4 linked regions of the Oryctolagus cuniculus genome follow. The protein of the gene in region 4 purifies or fractionates together with the protein of the main gene of each other region. This does not show direct contact. Links are inferred from orthologs where the notes say so. Each region holds a gene or a part of one and is shown on either strand. Other genes may lie near its edges.

Evidence for each region.
Region 1: the proteins of CYLD (region 4) and MAP3K7 purify together in Homo sapiens (affinity purification with western blotting; 4 studies listed by BioGRID, with this or other methods). This does not show direct contact. The link is inferred for Oryctolagus cuniculus from reciprocal best matches to the Homo sapiens genes CYLD and MAP3K7.
Region 2: the proteins of CYLD (region 4) and SPATA2L purify together in Homo sapiens (affinity purification with mass spectrometry; 3 studies listed by BioGRID and IntAct, with this or other methods). This does not show direct contact. The link is inferred for Oryctolagus cuniculus from reciprocal best matches to the Homo sapiens genes CYLD and SPATA2L.
Region 3: the proteins of CYLD (region 4) and SPATA2 purify together in Homo sapiens (affinity purification with western blotting; 10 studies listed by BioGRID and IntAct, with this or other methods). This does not show direct contact. The link is inferred for Oryctolagus cuniculus from reciprocal best matches to the Homo sapiens genes CYLD and SPATA2.

What each region holds. Positions count from the first base shown.
Region 1 is NC_091436.1:81,893,812-81,898,449, forward strand, and holds the start of MAP3K7 (mitogen-activated protein kinase kinase kinase 7), read left to right. Parts: upstream 1-1,589; 5' UTR 1,590-2,001; coding exon 2,002-2,121; intron 2,122-4,638. UniProt on the Homo sapiens protein: Serine/threonine kinase which acts as an essential component of the MAP kinase signal transduction pathway. Plays an important role in the cascades of cellular responses evoked by changes in the environment.
Region 2 is NC_091449.1:69,310,415-69,315,144, forward strand, and holds the start of SPATA2L (spermatogenesis-associated protein 2-like protein), read right to left. Parts: upstream 3,157-4,730; 5' UTR 3,011-3,156; intron 1,697-3,010; 5' UTR 1,696-1,696; coding exon 1,393-1,695; intron 644-1,392; exon of another isoform or gene 1-643.
Region 3 is NC_091442.1:10,692,457-10,697,097, reverse strand, and holds the start of SPATA2 (spermatogenesis-associated protein 2), read right to left. Parts: upstream 2,882-4,641; 5' UTR 1,642-2,881; coding exon 1,052-1,641; intron 616-1,051; coding exon of another isoform or gene 476-615; exon of another isoform or gene 435-475; intron 1-434. Other genes in the region: E3 ubiquitin-protein ligase RNF114, read left to right, coding at 476-615, 3,447-3,597.
Region 4 is NC_091449.1:34,338,794-34,342,868, reverse strand, and holds part of CYLD (ubiquitin carboxyl-terminal hydrolase CYLD), read right to left. Parts: intron 2,013-4,075; coding exon 1,921-2,012; intron 1,072-1,920; coding exon 1,005-1,071; intron 1-1,004. UniProt on the Homo sapiens protein: Deubiquitinase that specifically cleaves 'Lys-63'- and linear 'Met-1'-linked polyubiquitin chains and is involved in NF-kappa-B activation and TNF-alpha-induced necroptosis.

The sequences.
Region 1 (4,638 bases), on a different chromosome or scaffold from region 4:
CAGAGAGAGAGGGAGAAAATTTTCCATCTGCTGTTTCACTCCCCAGATGGCTGCAACGGATGGAGCTGAGCCGATCTATAGCCAAGAGCTAGAAGCTTCTTCTCGATCTTCCACACCAGTGCAGAAGCCCAGGGACGTGGGCCATCTTCTACTGCCCTCCCAGGCCACAGCAGAAAGCCGGATAGGAAGTAGAGCAGCTGGAACTCCAACTGGTGTCCATACAGGATGCTGTCAGTACAGGTGGAAGCTTTACCCACTACACCAATGCCGGCCCCCAAACAATTCACTTTGAAAAGCACCCAACAACAAAAAAGAGATGTATGGATGAATAACGTGACAAATAAATGATGGAGCAAGAATAATAAAATGTAAAAGGTGGACTCCTAAACTGTAGGTATAGGAAACTGATCTTACATTCTAAGGAAAGGGAGGACTGAGAAAAGCTATTCATTTGTCCAGAATAAATTACAAACATTTCCTGAGTCCCCATCTGGCAGAATCCATTATACTAAGACTAAAGCATTGAAGAGCCAAAGTGACTCCATTTTAAAACAATAAAAAAAGCAGCCTCCATTTCCCATAGCAGACCCGGGTCCTTGTAAAAGCAGGCATTCAGGCATTCCGGAGATATCAAAGCTTACCAGGGACAGCTAGCTCGGTAGACCTAGGAGAGCGCAGTAGAGATTGCTAAACAAAGTAACTCCCTGTACCCAAAGCTCCGTGCTGTAAGCCCCCGCTGATGCAACTCTGTTTTTCCTGCTGATGTAACACCCCCTTTTTTTTTTTTTCCTTTAAAAACTCTCCCAAAGACCGGGGCCTCACTCCTTCCTCTGCTGTGCTGGTTGGTTGGATAGGGTCCCTGTCGCGGCTTGTACTCCCGAATAAACCTTGCTTTTTGCAGCTCGGTGTGATCGACTCTCTGGGGGTCTCTGCCGGGATCTAACGATCTGGGTACAATAGCATTAAAGAGAAATCCGATATATGGACCCATTCAGTCATAGCACAAGAGTTGGCTCCTGGTGTGGAAATGCAAGGGAAACAACAGTTGATGATCTCTACTGATCTAATCTGCTCTTGTTTGGTTACTAGTGCTCTGCACAGCATTCCACATGTTCTCATTTTTCACATTGACAACTGAGTAGGTGACGGGATCCTTCACTGAGATAGGAACGGCACACAAAGGAACAGATTTGTGGTGACAGTCTTTGAACTTGCTTTTGGCATTCTGAAGTTTCGGTGTTCACGTTATATCTAAACAGAAATGTCCAGAATTCAGGAGACATCTGCTGCCTTCCAAACACAACACAGAGGAAAGCACATTTTACAGGGTTTCTGAAAAAAATAGCTCATTTTAGTTTAGTACTCAACATGAAAAGTAAGCTTCATCACAAAAACACAGCTCAACACCACCTTGTCCGTATGGAGGCCGCTCAGAGAAGAAGAAAGGGAGGAACGACATAGTTCACCAAGCAGACATCAAACCGCAGCTTTTTGTCTTTCCCGCTGGTTCTTAAGCGACCAACCACGCCGATTTTTCGGTCATATTCCACGCCACTTCCGCTCGCGCACTTTAATTACGTCAGGCCGTCAGATATCGCGGTATCATCCTTTTGCTGAGGCCATTTAACAAAGATCTCGCGAAATTTGTTCTACATGTTCTAGCGAGCCTCTTACCCTCCTCCACCCCACCCCTAGTCTGTCCCTCCTTTCTCTTTCCAAGTCACAAAACCCTCTTCTTCCCTCTTTCGGGCTCGCGGCTCCCCTGTTTCCGATTTCGGACCGGAACCGGAAGTGCAGTGGGCGGGCCCGGCAGCGGAAAGCGCAGCGGCGCCGGAGCCGGGACACGGCTGTGGCTGCAGCCCCCACCCCGGCCACGGATCGCTGGGTGGCAGGGCTGCGCGGCTCCAAGCTGAAGGTCGGTCCGGAGGAGGGTGGGCGCGAGCCTCACCTGGATTGTCCCGGCGGCACTGTCCTCGGGCCCCCCGGGCGCCGCGAGGGATCATGTCTACAGCCTCTGCCGCCTCCTCCTCCTCTTCGTCTTCGACCAGTGAGATGATCGAAGCCCCTACCCAGGTCCTTAACTTTGAGGAGATCGACTACAAGGAGATCGAGGTGGAAGAGGTGAGCAAGCCCCAGCACGGAGACAGTCGTCCTGGGCGGTCCCTGCCTCTGCCTGGTCCTGGCTCCGAAGGGGCCCGGCGGGGTCCACCCAGGAGTGCCCCCAGCCCTTCAGAGACGGGGTGTGGAGGAGGCGCGACTGCTCCCGCTAGCTGTCTCTTTTTTTTCTTTACCCCGACACTCTTCATGAGTGTGGATCAGATAGTCTGGTGCCTGGATTTGGGTCACCTCAAACAGAATGAACTGTGCGGTAGTGTGACCCGCCAGTTCTCATACCTGTAAGTAAATTCCGTGAAGACTGGCGGTTTTGGAGTTCGCTAGACGCGAAGGGCCAACGATGGTATTATGTTCGGTTTCCAGCTCAGTGCCTGGGGCGTAAGGGATGCTCAGTAAATGCTTGCCAAGTTACTAGGTCATCAATTCTAATAAAATGTTCTCCCTTAGTACCGAATGACTCTGTTTTTCCGATATCATAGAGCAGCACTCGCAGTATTCAGTGTCTAGCTGTTTTAGATGAATTTCACCCGTGGTAACGCCGACTGGTCTACGATGAAAAGAAGTTTCAAGTAGCATATTCTGAAAAGATAACTGTTGGTTTTGCTGATAACCAGCTGCTTTCCTATCCAGTTATCCATCGTATCTATCATTTCTGGTGACAGCCAGAATGTCGCCGAATTTCTCTGTCTGGAACCCATTCTGTGTTCTGCAGTAATTTATTACAGATCAAAGTATCTGTGCTTTTCATACATTTCTCCTTTTCTAGTTCATAAAGGGGTAGATTGGTTCTAAGGACCATAAAATTTAGAAAAGTAAAAACTGAATATGCATTTTAAAGACACACTGTGGAACTTGTTAAATTTTTAGTTGGGGATAGTATCTGTCAAACAGTTGCTATTTTTCGCTATAAAATTTATTAAGCACTTTGCTCTACCTGTACCATTAAGAACCTTGTTAAATCCTGGTGAAACATAATAGACTCTCAAAGAGCTGTCTCTATTTTAAAAATATAAAATTGCATTTACATGACAGCCAGTTAAAAGTAGTGAGTTAATGAACATTCAATGCTTTTTTCTTTTTCTATCTTCCTTTCTTCCTTTCTTTTTAGTTTTAGAAAGGTTCAGTATATCCGATATACCACATTCTAGCTGTGTAATTTGGGAGCAAGTTTCTTAACTCCTTTGAGCTTTCAATTCCATAAGTGTAAAATAGAGATAATAATATTCTATTTTATTTTATCCATATAACAGATCCTATTAAACAATATATGCAAAACACCCAACAATGCCTGACACATATTATTAGGAAACTTAATTCCAGACTGGAGCAATGACCTGCTTTAAGGTCACATAGCTAACTAAAAGAAGACCTGTATTTTGAAGAGGAAAAATTTTTTTTTTCTTTTCCTATTGAGGCTATGATAAATTCCTTTTTCAGAAGTGGATAGTTGATTCAGCTTTAATGGCTAACATTCTTTTTTAAGAATAAAAATGGAATGAGTCAGTCTACAAGAATTGCAGTTTTTAAATAAGCATTTACGTCTACTCTGTGGTGAACTGCTATGCTGGTAGACAAGAAATTATTATATAATAATAACTTGTACTCCGTGGTCTACCTCACAAAATTACTTGACTCTCACAACCTTAGTTTTTACAAACTGCTTTCTAAAGCTTTTTGGATTCTTGCTTCATGGAAGAATGCAAGTTATTAAGGAGACATTTGCCATTTTGATATTCTTCCCTCAAAGCCTTTTCACTTCTGGTTAGCTTTTTATGTTTCCAAGACCCTTCTTTCAGATATGTTTCAACTTTGAGGGGAGGATATTCCTAAGGAGTAGATTTTTGTTTTCAGATGAGAATTTCTTTCTAATATTAGGCATTTAGGGGTTTTTGTTTTGGTTTTCATTTTTATATATCCGATTTGTTTTCCCTTTAAATCCTGAATTTACACCTTTCTGATTTTGAAAAACCACTACATAATTTCCATCATACTCTTCCTTTGCATACTATATAATCAAGAGCACTCAGCAACTATTTCTCAGTCTTCTAGATTAAATCATAAAAAGTGAACAGAGAAGGATGACCAGAAACAAAAATTATTTTATATTGCTTTCAATTTATAGAAGTACATTGTCTTTTAAATTAAGACCATATGCTATATTTATATATAGTCAAATAACAAGAATAATTATATCAATATATTGTAGCAATATAACTAGAAAGTATCTTTTTTTGTTTTCTGTTAGGTTTATTTATTTATTTATTTGAAAGGCAGTGTTAGAAAGATCGTCCATCTTCTGGTTCACTCCCTAAATGGCCCTCTAGGTCTCCCACATGGGTGCAGGGGCTCAAGCACTTGAGCCATCTTCTGCTGCTTTTCAAGGCACAGGAGCAAGGAGCTTAATGGAGAGTGAAGCAACTGAGGCTTAACCCTGTACTTCAGCAAGGGATACTGGGGTGACAGGCAGCAGATTAACCTTCTGCACCACAATGCCGGCCCACAGAAACTGTTTTAAAAAGAAAT
Region 2 (4,730 bases), about 35 Mb from region 4:
TGTGTTTGTGTGTGAAAGACGGGTGTCAGGCTGCGCTCTGTGTGTGTAAGACAGGTGGCAGGGTGTGCTCTGTGTGTGTGTGAGGTGGCAGGGTGCGCTCTGTGTGTGTGTGTGACGGGTGGCAGGGTGTGTTCTGTGTGTGTGTGACGGGTGGCAGGGTGTGTTCTGTGTGTGTGTGTGACGGGTGGCAGGGTGTTCTCTGTGAGACGGGTGGCAGGGTGTGCTCTGTGTGTGTGACGGGTGGCAGGGTGTTCTCTGTGAGACGGGTGGCAGGGTGTGCTCTGTGTGTGTGACGGGTGGCAGGGTGTGCTCTGTGTGTGTGTTAGACAGGTGGCAGGGTGCGCTGTGTGACAGGTGGCAGTGTGTTCTCTGTGAGACGGGTGGCAGGGTGTGCTCTGTGTGTGTGACGGGTGGCAGGGTGTGCTCTGTGTGTTAGACGGGTGGCAGGGTGCGCTGTGTGACAGGTGGCAGTGTGTTCTCTGTGAGACGGGTGGCAGGGTGTGCTCGGTGTGTGTGTGTGTCACAGGTGGAAGGGTGAGCTCTGTGTGCGTGTGTCACAGGTGGCAGGGTGCGCTCCAGACCACACAGGTGTGTGTAGAGCTAAAGGCTGCTAGGACAGTCAGGGGGCTGGGCCGTGACCCGGGGGCACCTGCAGTCCTCCCGCCGTGCTTCCGCAGCGTGCCTCAGTGCACGACTCTGTCTCTTTCCCAGGAGTGAAACACGTTCAGGAAGATCAGGTACTGGTCCACAGCCGCACACCAGGAGCGGCCGGAAGCCAGCTGCTCCTGGCGTTGACGCCTCTAGGACAGGGGTCCGTTCTGTGCTTGACCCCAGGGGCGGCAGGCCCCTCCTTTCCTGTGTGAATGGAGGAATCAAAGTCCTAGAACCCCGTGCCAGCAGGTGTCCTGATAGAGCGGTGGCTCGGCTGCCATGGCAACCCGCGGGGGCGTATGTTGCCCACGTGCAGTGACGTCACCGCCTTCCTACTCTTCCCAGTTAGCTCTGAGCGCCAGCAGCCTCGCCCCCGCCTGCTGGCCAGCAGCGCGCTTAGAGTGGCCAGGCCCCGCTGTCCGCAGCCTCGGAACCGGTGGCCAGCACTCTCCCGTTTCGCAGGGGGCCGGCCTCAGCCTCCTCTATGGAAGTGGTCAGCCCACGTCCTGGTGGAATTAGGACCACTCAGGGACCTTAAGTCTCCCCTCTACACACACACCTCTGAACTTGTCCTAGAGTTTCCATGGCAACTATGCCCCGAGGTCCCCTTAGGGAGGACAGCGATAAAAGCAGGCGAGCACCCACATTCTCAGCCCCGGGACTGCCCAGGCAGACCTCAGGGCGCCCCCGAGGTCCCTCCGTGGGCTGAGCACCCTGCAGACACCTGAAACCCAGTCCCACCTTGATGGTGGTGAACTCCTTCCTCCAGGGCAGCAGGTACAGGTGCACGGCGGCCAGCTCCAGCAGCTCGAAGGCTCGGGCCAGGCCGTGCAGCGCGGGCGCCAGGTCGGCGCGGCCCCACAGCCCGTCGGTGAGCAGCGCCAGCGCGTCGTCCTGCAGCGCCCCGTGCAGGTCGAAGTCCTCGACCAGGATGTGCCAGAGCACGGCGCGCAGCGAGGGATCCCCGCACACGCCCGCGCGGCCGCGCCGCAGCTCGCGCTCCAGGCACAGGCGGTAGTCCTCGGACAGCGAGCTGCTGCCCATCCTGCCGGCGGGAGCGCGGTGTGAGGCCGCGCCCCGCCGGCTCAGCGCCCCCAGCCCACCCAGCCCCGCCGGGGGAGCCAGCATCCGCCCGCTGAGCGCCCCCTGCCCACCCCCCCGCCAGAGGAGCCAGCATCTGCCCGCTCAGCGCCCCCTGCCCACCCAGCCCCGCCGGGGGAGCCAGCCTCCGCCGGCTCAGCGCCCCCAGCCCACCCACCCCCCGCCAGAGGAGCCAGCCTCCGCCGGCTCAGCGCCCCCTGCCCACCCAGCCCCGCCAGAGGAGCCAGCCTCCGCCGGCTCAGTGCCCCCAGCCCACCCACCCCCCGCCAGAGGAGCCAGCCTCCGCCGGCTCAGCGCCCCCTGCCCACCCAGCCCCGCCAGAGGAGCCAGCCTCCGCCGGCTCAGCGCCCCCAGCCCACCCCCCGCCAGAGGAGCCAGCATCCGCCGGCTCAGCGCCCCCAGCCCACCCCCCGCCAGAGGAGCCAGCCTCTGCCCGCTGAGCGCCCCCTGCCCACCCCCCGCCAGAGGAGCCAGCCTCCGCCGGCTCAGCGCCCCCTGCCCACCCAGCCCCGCCAGAGGAGCCAGCATCCGCCCGCTCAGCGCCCCCTGCCCACCCCTCGCCAGAGGAGCCAGCATCCGCCCGCTGAGCGCCCCCTGCCCACCCAGCCCCACCAGAGGAGCCAGCATCCGCCCGCTGAGCGCCCCCTGCCCACCCAGCCCCGCCAGAGGAGCCAGCATCCGCCCGCTGAGCGCCCCCTGCCCACCCCTCGCCAGAGGAGCCAGCATCCGCCCGCTGAGCGCCCCCTGCCCACCCAGCCCCGCCAGAGGAGCCAGCATCCGCCCGCTGAGCGCCCCCTGCCCACCCAGCCCCGCCAGAGGAGCCAGCATCCGCCCCCTCAGCGCCCCCTGCCCACCCACCCCTCGCCAGAGGAGCCAGCATCTGCCCCCTCAGCGCCCCCTGCCCACCCAGCCCCACCGGAGGAGCCAGCCTCCGCCCGCTCAGCGCCCCCTGCCCACCCCCCGCCAGAGGAGCCAGCCTCCGCCGGCTCAGCGCCCCCTGCCCACCCAGCCCCGCCGGGGGAGCCAGCATCGGCCTGCTGAGCACCCACAGTCCACCCAGCCCCGCCGGGGGAGCCAGCATCCGCCCGCTCAGCGCCCCCCGCACCCTCAGCCCAGCCCCGCCGGGAGATCCAGGCCCTGGCCGCTGAGCGCCCAGGTGTCTACGGCTGTCCCCTTCCTCGAAGACCCGCTCGCGCCTTCTGAGCCTCCTCCTCCGCCCACGACCTCGGGCTCTGGATCCCACGGCCGAAAGCACTACCTGTCTGTCCCCGGGGTCCGGCAGCCGCCACCTCTGTGCGCCGGCCTCCTCCTCGGCACGCGCTTCCGCGGGACGCGGCTCCGCCCACAGGCCGTGACGTCGAGGGGCGGGAGGGCGTCACGTGCAGCCTCCTCGGAGGGCGGGGATTGGCCGGCTGTTGGGGGGCGGGGCCGCGGCGCTCGGGGCGGGCGCCATTCTCGAACTCCGGAGCCGGGGCGGCGTGTGCGGCTCCCGGCGTGGGTCGCGGGCACCTGGGGAGTGCGCCAGCGGGCGGCAGGTCCGTCTCCGCCTCTCGGGTACACGCGGGCCACTCGGGCCGTCCGGGGCCGGCTGAGGAGAGCGGCGTCCAGGAGCACCGGCCTCAGCGCGCGGCCGGGACTGACCTCCCCGGCCCAGGATAACGCGAGGCGGGCTCCTGAGAGTCCCCTGGGCCCCTCCCGGGCCGCCCAGGCGCGAGCGCCGGGACCGAGGGCCGTCCCGAGGGAAAGCGGGTTTGCTCTCGGAACTTGCGCCCGGCAGGATTCGCCGCCGGGGAGACTTCGGGGCTGCCGCGGACGGGCAGCTCGGCGGCGTGAGCCCGTGAAGACAGCCCGAGAGGCGGGGGCCCGGCTCCGCTTCCTGCAGTGCACGCCCGGGAGCCCGCGGTGCCGCATTCTGCCCGCCGCCCACGTGGGAAACCGCCTAGACTTTTGGGATCCTGTTACTGGCGTTTGGGGGCAGGCCAACAAAGGGGAGCCGTTTCTGTCTGCTCGCAAGTAAATTCAAATAAGGAAGTGAACGTTTTCAGCAGAAATCGAGGGGCCGGTGTCCTGGGCTCCGGGAGCGCCGCTCCAGATCCTGGCTGCTCCGCCTCCCACTCGTCTTCCTGCCTGCGCGTCTGGTGGGCCCGCCACCTGGGAGACCGAGCTGGAGTTCCTGGCTCTTGGCTTTGGCCTGGTTCTGACCTGTTGTGGCCATTTGGTGAGTGAACCAGTGGATAGAAGATCTCAGTCCCTCTGTCCTTCAAATAAATAAGGAATCTTTAACAAGCAAATAGAAAAATGGACACAGATGCACAGGGAAGGGGCAGACCAGAGCGATGCAGCTCGGAGCCAAGGACTGCGTGGGTTTTCGGAAGCTCCCAGGGCAGATGCAGGCGAGGGAGGGGCCTTCTGGGCCTCAGACCGGTGCAGCCTGTGGGCGCTCGGCTCACATTTCTGCCTCGCAAAGCTCTTGAGATTCTGAACTTGTTTTAAGCCACACATTTTGTGATACTTTGTTAGGGGGCGTCTCAGGATACTCACATATTCTGTGTACTCCATTTATTTAGTGCTGGGTAAGTGACACTGACAGCCGGGGTCAGGCTGCAGTGTCAGATCGACAGCTGGGCCTGGCCATCTGCAGGCTGCCCCAGCTGGAGCCCAGCCACACAGTGACAGCTGTGTGATAGCCAGTGTTGAGGCCTGGGTCATCTGTGTTCAGTTTCCTTCTCGGCTCTCCTAGGGCCGACATCCCCCCGCCCCCCGTTTGCACACACATCCTGCTGTTGGACCTCGGTCCACACAGTTTCCAACGCCCTCAGAAGGTGGAGGCCATCGCTAGGTCTGAGGCCATTGGTCCCTGCCTTGGCCCAGGACTGCCTGCTGGTTCCTGCCCCCACCACCGCACACATCCCCACACCGTGTGTCCAGTGTCACCAGTCTGATGGGTCTGAGGTTGTGTCTTGTTTTAATTCAAATCT
Region 3 (4,641 bases), on a different chromosome or scaffold from region 4:
AGGTTGCCGCCTGGGACGCCGCGGTCCCTATCAGAGTGCTCGGTTCGAGTCCCAGCTCCTCCGCTGCCCATCTAGTCTCTGCCTTTGCAATAAAATGAAAATATATTTTTAAAATGTCGGTTAGGCTTATATGAATCGAATGGAGTTGATTCGAAGAGAAGCATGAAATCACAGCGCAGCTAGCGCGAAGCTAACATTTTCAGCTTGGAAAACCGGCCGCGACCGGCAGCCGCCGCCTTCGGGGTCCGCACCTCCCAGACTTCCCTCCCCAGCTCCGTACGGCGTCCGGGGGGCGTGGCCCGCCACTAGCCCGCCCCCAGCGTGCGCACGCACGACCTACAAGCCCCGCCCCTACCGGCGCACGCCGCACGCTCCGCCCCGCCCCCACGCGCGTGCTCGGTCGCCGCCGAGGACCCGCCCCCTCGCCGAGCGCCTCCTTCCCGACCGCCCTTGCGCGGAGCTGAGCGGCGGCAAGATGGCGGCGCAGCAGCAGGGTCGTGAGGGCGGCGCTCCGCTGGCCGCGGCAGCGGCGGAGGCCGACCCCTTGGGCCGCTTCACCTGTCCCGTGTGCTTAGAGGTGTACGAGAAGCCGGTGCAGGTGCCCTGCGGACACGTGTAAGCAGCAAGCTCGCGCCCGGCCGCAGGGCGCCCGGCTGGGAGGGGAGCGGAGCCGGGGAGCGAGGCCCCTACGGGGAGGGTCTCCGGGGCGGAGGCGCAAGGACGGGCCTGGGGGGTGGCAGCTGGCGGGGCCGGCACAGCCGACTGCCCCCGGGCGGCCCGTGAGGCGCCGGGCAGGGGCCGAGGTCCGCCCTGGGAGAGCCAGAATGCGCCTCGGGGCTAGGGCTCTGGGCGTCGGGGCTGGCGTTGCGCACTGAAAATGGGGAAACGCCGAAGGAGGGGGAAATAATGAAAGGGAAGTCCGCTCGGGGCGCGCCGGGCTGTGCTTCTCGGAGTGGGGGGCTGGCCCGGGAGCGGGGGCCGCGCGGGGGCCTCGCTCCGACAGACGCTCCTAAAACTAGGGGAAGAGAAGAACAAAACAAAACAAGCAAACCTGTAGGCGAACGGGTTCACCTGCGTCGTGCTTCCCCGCAAGGCCTTGTTCCTCTGTGGGCTCCCTGTGCTAGGCACGGCCGCCGCCTTGGCGGGGGCCCGGGGATCCTCTGTTGGTCGGCGGCGAGCGCACCTGTAGGCACTCACAGGCGGTCGTCTGCAGGGGGCACCTGTGCAGGGGCGGGGGCTGGCAGCCATTTTACAGGGTAGTCGACGCCGGGCACCCGGCAGAGGCTCTGCGGCCAGGCCGGCTGCTTGCTGCGCCCTTTGGCCAGCCTGGAACCGGACTCCTGCCCCGTGCGCCTCCCGCCTCTGCCCTCGGATCTCGGGTCCCTGCGCTATCACCGTGGCCATCCCTCCCCTCCCTCGGGGTCTCGGGAGATGGCCGCCCTCGGCGTCTGCGCTCGGCTGAGCTGGGGAGAGGTGGTGCCGCCCCGGCTGGAGACCTCCTGTGCAGGGCCGCAGCCTCGAGGAGCCGCGTGACCGCGGAAGGGGCGGGCTGAGGAGTGGGTCCCCGGCGTGGAAGTGGAGCTCGGCCGCCTGCTCTGAGCCTGCGCACCTCGGCGCAGGGCCACCCAGCTTCGTGTCCATCCCGCGGGGTCCATTCACTTAACAGCTTTCGGAAGCCTTGGCCCAGCGTCGAGCCGCCGGCCCTCTCCTGGGTGGGGGCCGCAGCGGCACTGGGGTTCAGGCCGCGGCTCGCTTCTCCTCCCGGCCGTGCAGGCTGCACGTGTCCAGCAGTTCCGTGCTGATGGACGGCAGGTGGGAGCGCCGTGGGGCGCAGCGCGTCTCCCTGAGCCCCAGCCGAGAGCTGTGTCCTGGCCTCGCTGGGTTTTAACGGGTCGCTGGAGACTTGAGCACCACCGTGGCTCTGGCTGGGCACTGGGGTTTGTAAGACTTCATCTCAAAGTTCCGGAGGACAGCACCCTCCCGGTCCGCTGGGCTCTCGCGGAGAGGGGCAGGTGGCCGAGTGCCTGGCAGAAGGGGCGGAGCATCTGGAAGGCTGAGCCAGAGGGAGGCCGGTGAGGAGGAAATAGAAACTGAAACCAGCCTGGGACCCCTGCTGCTTGCTGGGTGTCCCTCGGCGCTGGTGACTTGAGGGGAACAGGGGCGGTGCCTCCCTGGTGCTTGCCCGCGGGCCTTGGTCTCGGTGCTGTGGGACCCTCTGCGTTGGGGGCTCCTGGGCTCTGCCTCTGTCAGCAGGGTCGGGCGCCTGCCCCTCCTGCCGCGCCTCTGGTTGGTGTCACCTCTGCCTGCAATCAGCGAGCGACCCCTCTTAGCCAGGCCCCGGCCCAAATGTGGCCTCAGAGAGCTTCCGGTGGTCCCCCAGGCGCGCTCTGGCTTGTCTCATTCCCTGCCTAGACTTCCTCACTGCATCAGTGAACAGTTGTGTTCCTCCACCTTACGCAGGCCCCGTGAGAATGGGCTTTCTCTGTCCTCTCCCTCGGGCTGAGCCGAGCCCTCTCACCTGGCAGCCCGGCCTGACCGTCCCCAGCAGCACTAGCGTCGAGCTTAATGGCAGAGGAAGGTGTTCTTAGTTAAAGAAGAATGAGCCTGGCAGGTGCGCTGGTCGCCTCTGGTGATGCGCCCTGGGCCCTCCCTGCTGGATCTCGTGGTCCTGGGTCCGTGCGGCCAGGTGGGCGGCCCAGGTGTCCTGCTCAGGAGCTGCCTTGGTGCCTCACCCAGCGTCCGGTAGCTCTCGGTCCCCGAATTCCTGAACCACCCAGTCCTGCTGCTTGCCTTTGAGTCCTTCCCTGAGTCGGGTCTCCGCCTCCCCCGGCCTTCAGGATCCCCTGCTGGGAGCCATCTGATTGGTCCCTGCCGCGCCAGTCCCGCGGGAGACGCAGTCTGCTCCTGCTGCTGGCGCGGGTCTGCTAGCTTCCCACCCCGCAGGTGCACCCTGAGTAGTCGAGTCTGCTGCCAGCCGAGCCCTTGAAGGCCGATGGCGCAGGCCGCCTCTGTGGTCTGCCCCCTCCCCACCCGGCCCTCACGCTCAAAGCCAGCAGCTCCATTCATCCTGCATTTTGTGTGTGCTAGACACTGCCTGAGGGGCACCCTCCCCACGCCATTTCACAGGGGAGGAGGTGGAGGTGCAGGAAGCCCCCACCCACCCCTGTGAGATCGCGCGGGGCAGGGGCTGCCAGCTGAAGCCTTGGCCCCGCACCTTCGCCTTGTGTGACGGCGGTTTGCGTGTTTCCGTTGCTGGGCCTGTGTGTCCTCACCGCGCTCCCTGTCCTCACGCCCAGCTTTTCTGGCCTGGAAGGACTCGGGGCTTGACTGAGGGCAGGGAGCAAGTTGTCTTGAGTCCATCACTCGTGGCTCCATTGTACAAGTGGACGCTGGTGCCGTCTGTCCCCGCCATGCATGACGGAGGCTCTCTGTGTGTCTTGTTCTAGCTTTTGCTCTGCATGCCTGCAGGAGTGTCTGAAGCCGAAGAAGCCTGTCTGTGGGGTGTGCCGCAGCGCTCTGGCGCCTGGCGTCCGGGCCGTGGAGCTCGAGCGGCAGATCGAGAGCACAGAGACATCTTGCCATGGCTGCCGTAAGAATGTATGTGGAGGTAACCGGAGGAGCCGTGTCTGTCCAAGCTGAGCTGGGGGAAGCGTAGTGCTGGCCGCGCCGTGTCCGCACGTGTGCATGCCGGGTCCGCGGTGACGCTGCGCTGGCTCCTTTCTTAACGTAGGGGTTTTTTTTTGTTTTTTTTTTTTTTTTGCTTTTTTTTATGAGTTGGTTTAGCATCATCTACCCCAGCTTTGAAAGCCATAGAAGTCACTTGTCCCAGTTTCCCTGTAAAACCCGTTTTTCCAAACACTGTACACTGTTCAGTTAGACTAGTGACGTGATATTACATGTGACTCAGGCGTGCTCTGCGCAGGCAGGGCCGGGGGGAGAACGGTTGGTTTCACTTCAGCACCCGACAGGCCGCGGCCACGACGGAGGCCAGCGTGACGTGCAGTGGTAGTGAGCAGCCTCTGACCCCGGCGTGTCGCCGCATCTGGGTAATCAGACTGGGCTCGATCGTGTGTGGTTTGCCTCTGTTACAGCTGCTGCTGGGAGGGACAGATAACCGGTGCCTGATTTCCCAACAGATGTGCAGTTTTATTAATTTTAGACTCATTACACTGTCCGTTAAATGCACACGGTTCAAAAGCACAGTGGGGGCTGCAGCCTGGGGCCGTCTCGGCTGGCTTCTGCGGACTCAGACTCAGACACGTGGAGCATGTTTACCAGCACACAGAAATCGTGATGAAATAGTTGAGATCAGACCATTTTTTTCTTCACCTTTTCTTCGCTTTTGCAAGTTTGTTTTGTTTGACTTCCTGGATGGCCTTGCCTGTTGGTTTCCTTAGCACTTCGGTTTGGGCGGGCACGGTATGGTTCTACCTCCCATCTCCTTTGCAGGGAGGTTGAGTGTCTAGGGCTGCGCAGTGGGGCTAACACGGTGCTGGATGGGCTCTTTCGCTTCCCTGCTCACTGGGGGCCCCGTTACCTTCAGCTTCCTTCCTGCTTGTGTGGTGGTGGTCGCTTGTTTTTGTTTTTGTTTTCGTTTCCCTATAAGCTTTTGATTTGCTCCACTTTAAGGTTAGTGAATGC
Region 4 (4,075 bases):
TTGTCTATAATTAGCTTTCTGGGAAGTAAAAGTATATTACCAAGATTCTCAGCAGAGAAACCCAGACCAAAATGCAAAAAGGTTCACCATTTTGACTGTGAACATTCACACTAAATGGAAAGTGCAACCACATTTAGGGGCCGGCGCTGTGGCATAGAGGGTAAAGCCCAGCCTGCAGTACCAGCATCCCATATGGGCGCCAGTTGGAGTCGTCCCAGCTGCTCCACTTCCTTTCTAGCCCTCTGCTGTGGCCTGGGAAAGCAATAGAAGATGGCCCAGGTCCTTGGGCCCCTGCACCAGCATGGGAGACCCAGAGAAGCTCCTGGCTCCTGGCTTCGGATCAGCCCAACTCCAGCATTGCAGCCATTTGGGGAGTGAACCAGTGGATGGAAAACCTCTCTCTCTCTCTCTCTCATTGCAGCCATTTGGGGAGTGAACCAGTGGATGGAAAACCTCTCTCTCTCTCTCTCTCTAATTTGTCTTTCAAATAAATAAATCTTTAAAAAATAAAAGAACATCTCACTAAGAACATGACTGCATTAAACTCAAGGTTTTTATTCAACACATGGGGAAAAAAGATTGAGTTCTAGAGCTGAGAACAAAAGAGCTAATTTAAGGCTCAATTAATTCTCTGAATGATAGGTAGGCAAAAAACAATGCTCTCATAGTGATTAGATTAGAATGAGATTCTCTTAAAGGGCCTATTAATTTAAATTACATATATACACAATTTCATTTGAAAATGAATTGCAATATTTATAACTAGGGTTAAAATTAAAAGTACAAATTTACATTGGACTTATTCAAGTTAAGGAGGCACTCTGTAGCACATAATGATTAATATAATTTTGCATTTATCATTGCATTTATAGGACACATGCAGTCCTAAACCAATACAATGGTAAATAACCACTAAGGAAAGCACATCTGCTGACTGATGGCCCTGGAAACAAAGACTGTCTTTTTTTTTTTTTTCAATGCTTCTGTAACAATCTAAAAGTTACCTTATTTTTAACAGTGGTTCTACCCTTAAAATATGATGAAATAGGATATTTAAGAATTCTTCAGGATCTAGGAGAAAATTAAAAAATCAAATAAGTCACACGTAAAATTTTTAAATCACATTCAATTTTCAAATTCATAAGTCATGTTCATATATCAAATTCTGCTCCATTCACTTAAATATTCTTTCAGTTAAAAGCATACTTTTCAAGTTTTCCTGACAAAGGAGAAATACAAGGGACATCTAAAGGCTATGATATAAAGAACTTTTTCAGAAAAACATGATAAAAATAAAACTAAAAAATGAAATATTGCCTCAATTTTATTATCATTTTTTCACATTTCAAAGAGCATAATGATTTATATATAGTAAAATAATTTAATTTCTCTGGGGGGGCTTAGGGTATGTAGAATAAAATCTGTACTATGCCTTGTTTTCCTTTCTATTTAAATAATCATGCAGCCTGTAAGCAGTACAGCTGGTATAGAAGGTTCCTAACAAGTTCAAAGCCAGGAGCTGAATCTCTGAGTAAAGCCATGAAGAGATTAAAACGCTGATCTCTGGGCATAAACTTTATCCTCGTTAGCCTTTTTAATTCTCCTTCTATAATAAGAAAAAGTAAGTAGGAAAATGTAAATGCTTTCATTGCTGAGAGAGCAGCAGCTCAGAGAATCACTGCTACAGACAGAGCTATGTCTACTCACTCACGTATTAGAAACTAGCCCCTTCTTTAAGGGGTTCATTATTCATCACTTTTAGAAGAGGCAAGAATTGATTTTAAAAGGGGAGAAAATTATACATTACTTAGGAATCAATTTCTAATTTAAAATAAAAGACACACATGTCAGCTAATAATTTGCATACAAATATGCTTTCAAGGTATTTTTAATGCATAAACCTTAAACAAAGACAGTCACCTTTTTCTTCAGAGGTAAATCCTGATGCAGCCTCAACTTTTTCAAGTATTTTCCTCAGTTTCATAATTTTTGTGGCACACACATATCCATATCTGTGTTAGTAAAAGACTATTAATTAGCTGATATTGGCATATATACTAAATTATATAACACTTCTTAATAATCACACCATTCTTGTATAACTCCAATATGTCATAAATCAATAGGCTAGTTAATTATTTGAAGGATGCAATTACAGACTTCTTGCGGTTTGAAAAAATTAAAGCTGTAGGAACAGAATTATCCCAGACACTATTATTCACCTTCAAAATAAAGTACTAATATAAGACAAAAACATTTTACAAGTTTGTGCTAACTTTTTAAGTAAGATTTGCTTAAGAAATGAAAGCATTTACTTTTATAAAATGGAATATACAATTGTGAGAGAGAGAGAGCCCTTATAAATATTGAAGGGTAAAATAGCCTAAATGGAAAAGGGAACTGATTAACAAGTCTACAATCTGCAATGCAATAAGCATAACTAGGACATTTCCACTCAGGTTTGGAGGAATTTGGGCCACATTCAGTTTAACGTCAATCCTGGACAAAACTCTAAATGTGAAAAATGGCTTCAGAAGAAAACATGGAGGTCATGATGGGCTTCAGGAAAGCAGGTCAGAACCAGCCAATCCACTTTTTATGTTAACCAGTCATTCGCTTATTTGCTGCCTGCAACCAACTTACATTGAGCATCTGCTGCCTCCATACCACTCCTAGCTGCCAGCCATCGGGAATACGACTGGAGTAGAGAGAGAGACAGGGCCTCTGCCCAGAGCAGCTTGCAATGGGGAAAGCAGAGGCTTCAGGACCAAATAAAACATGCGGATCTAGCAGGCCTGAGGGCTGTGGATGTGGTAAACTTGATCCAAACAGGGCATTCCAACAGTGGACGGGGATGGGCAATAGTATTCAAAGAACGTCTGTCGAGGATGAAGGAGGAAAAGAGTGTAGCTTTCCTTAAAGTTTTGGGCTTGATCTGTCTTATTCTAGTATCAATTATTTGAGGGGGGAAAAAGTATGCTTAAAATTTTGCATAAGACAAAATAATTAATGTGCAAACCAACTCACCTTAAAGAGTGAGAATATCACAGCATTCATTACAGAATTTAAGGAAACAAAAGACACAAGCAGGGAAATTTATCCTTACACAGTTCACTCTCCCAGGGCTGTGCTGGAGCAGGTACGGGGAATGCGCATGACAGCACAGTATTCTGCTGCTACAGATCGAAGGCTTCTGCAAGGGCTCACGTTGTGGCACAGGGCCTGAAGTCACTTGCAGTGCTAACATCCCGTGTCCCAGGGCTGCCTGATCCAGCTCCCTGCCAATGCACCTGGGAAAGCCTCAGAGGAGGATCCAAGTGCTTAGGACGCTGCCACCCACATGAGAGACCAGGATGGACTTCCTGGCTCTTGGCTTTGGCTTGGCCCAGCCCCAGCTAGTGAAGCCATTTGGGGAGTGGGAAGCAGCAAATGAAACCTCCCCCCACTCCCTCACTCCCTCTCTCTCTCTTTTTTCTCCTCCCTGCTAATGTGCCTGAGAAAGAAGCTGGCCCAAGTACTTGGACCCCTGCCTCCCACAAAGGAGTCCCAGATGAAGCTCCTGGTCCCTGGCTTCAGCCTAGTCCAGGCGTGGCCGATGCAGCCATTTATGGAGTGAACCAGTAGATGGAAGATTTCTTTCTGTCCCTCTTTCTTTCTACCACTCTGACCTTCAAATAAATAAATAAATCTTTTTAAAAATGCTAGTTCAACGGACTGGCACTGTGGCATAGCAGGTAAAGCCGCCGCCTGCAGTGCTAGCACCCCATACAGGTGCCGGTTCAAGTACCAGCTGCTCTACTTCCATCCAGCTCTCTGCTATGGCCTAGGAAAGCAGTAGAAGATGGACCAAGTCCTCGGACCCCTGCATCCAACAATGGGAGACCCGGAAGAAGCTCCTGGCTTCAGATCAGCACAGCTCTGGCCGTTGCAGCCAATTGGGGAGTGAATCAGCAGATGGAAGACCTCTCTCTCTCTCTGTCTCTCCTTCTCTCTGTGTAACTCTGCCTTTCAAATAAATAAATAAATCTTCAAAAAAAAAAAAATGCTCAGGGGGCTGGCATTGTAGTGCACTGGG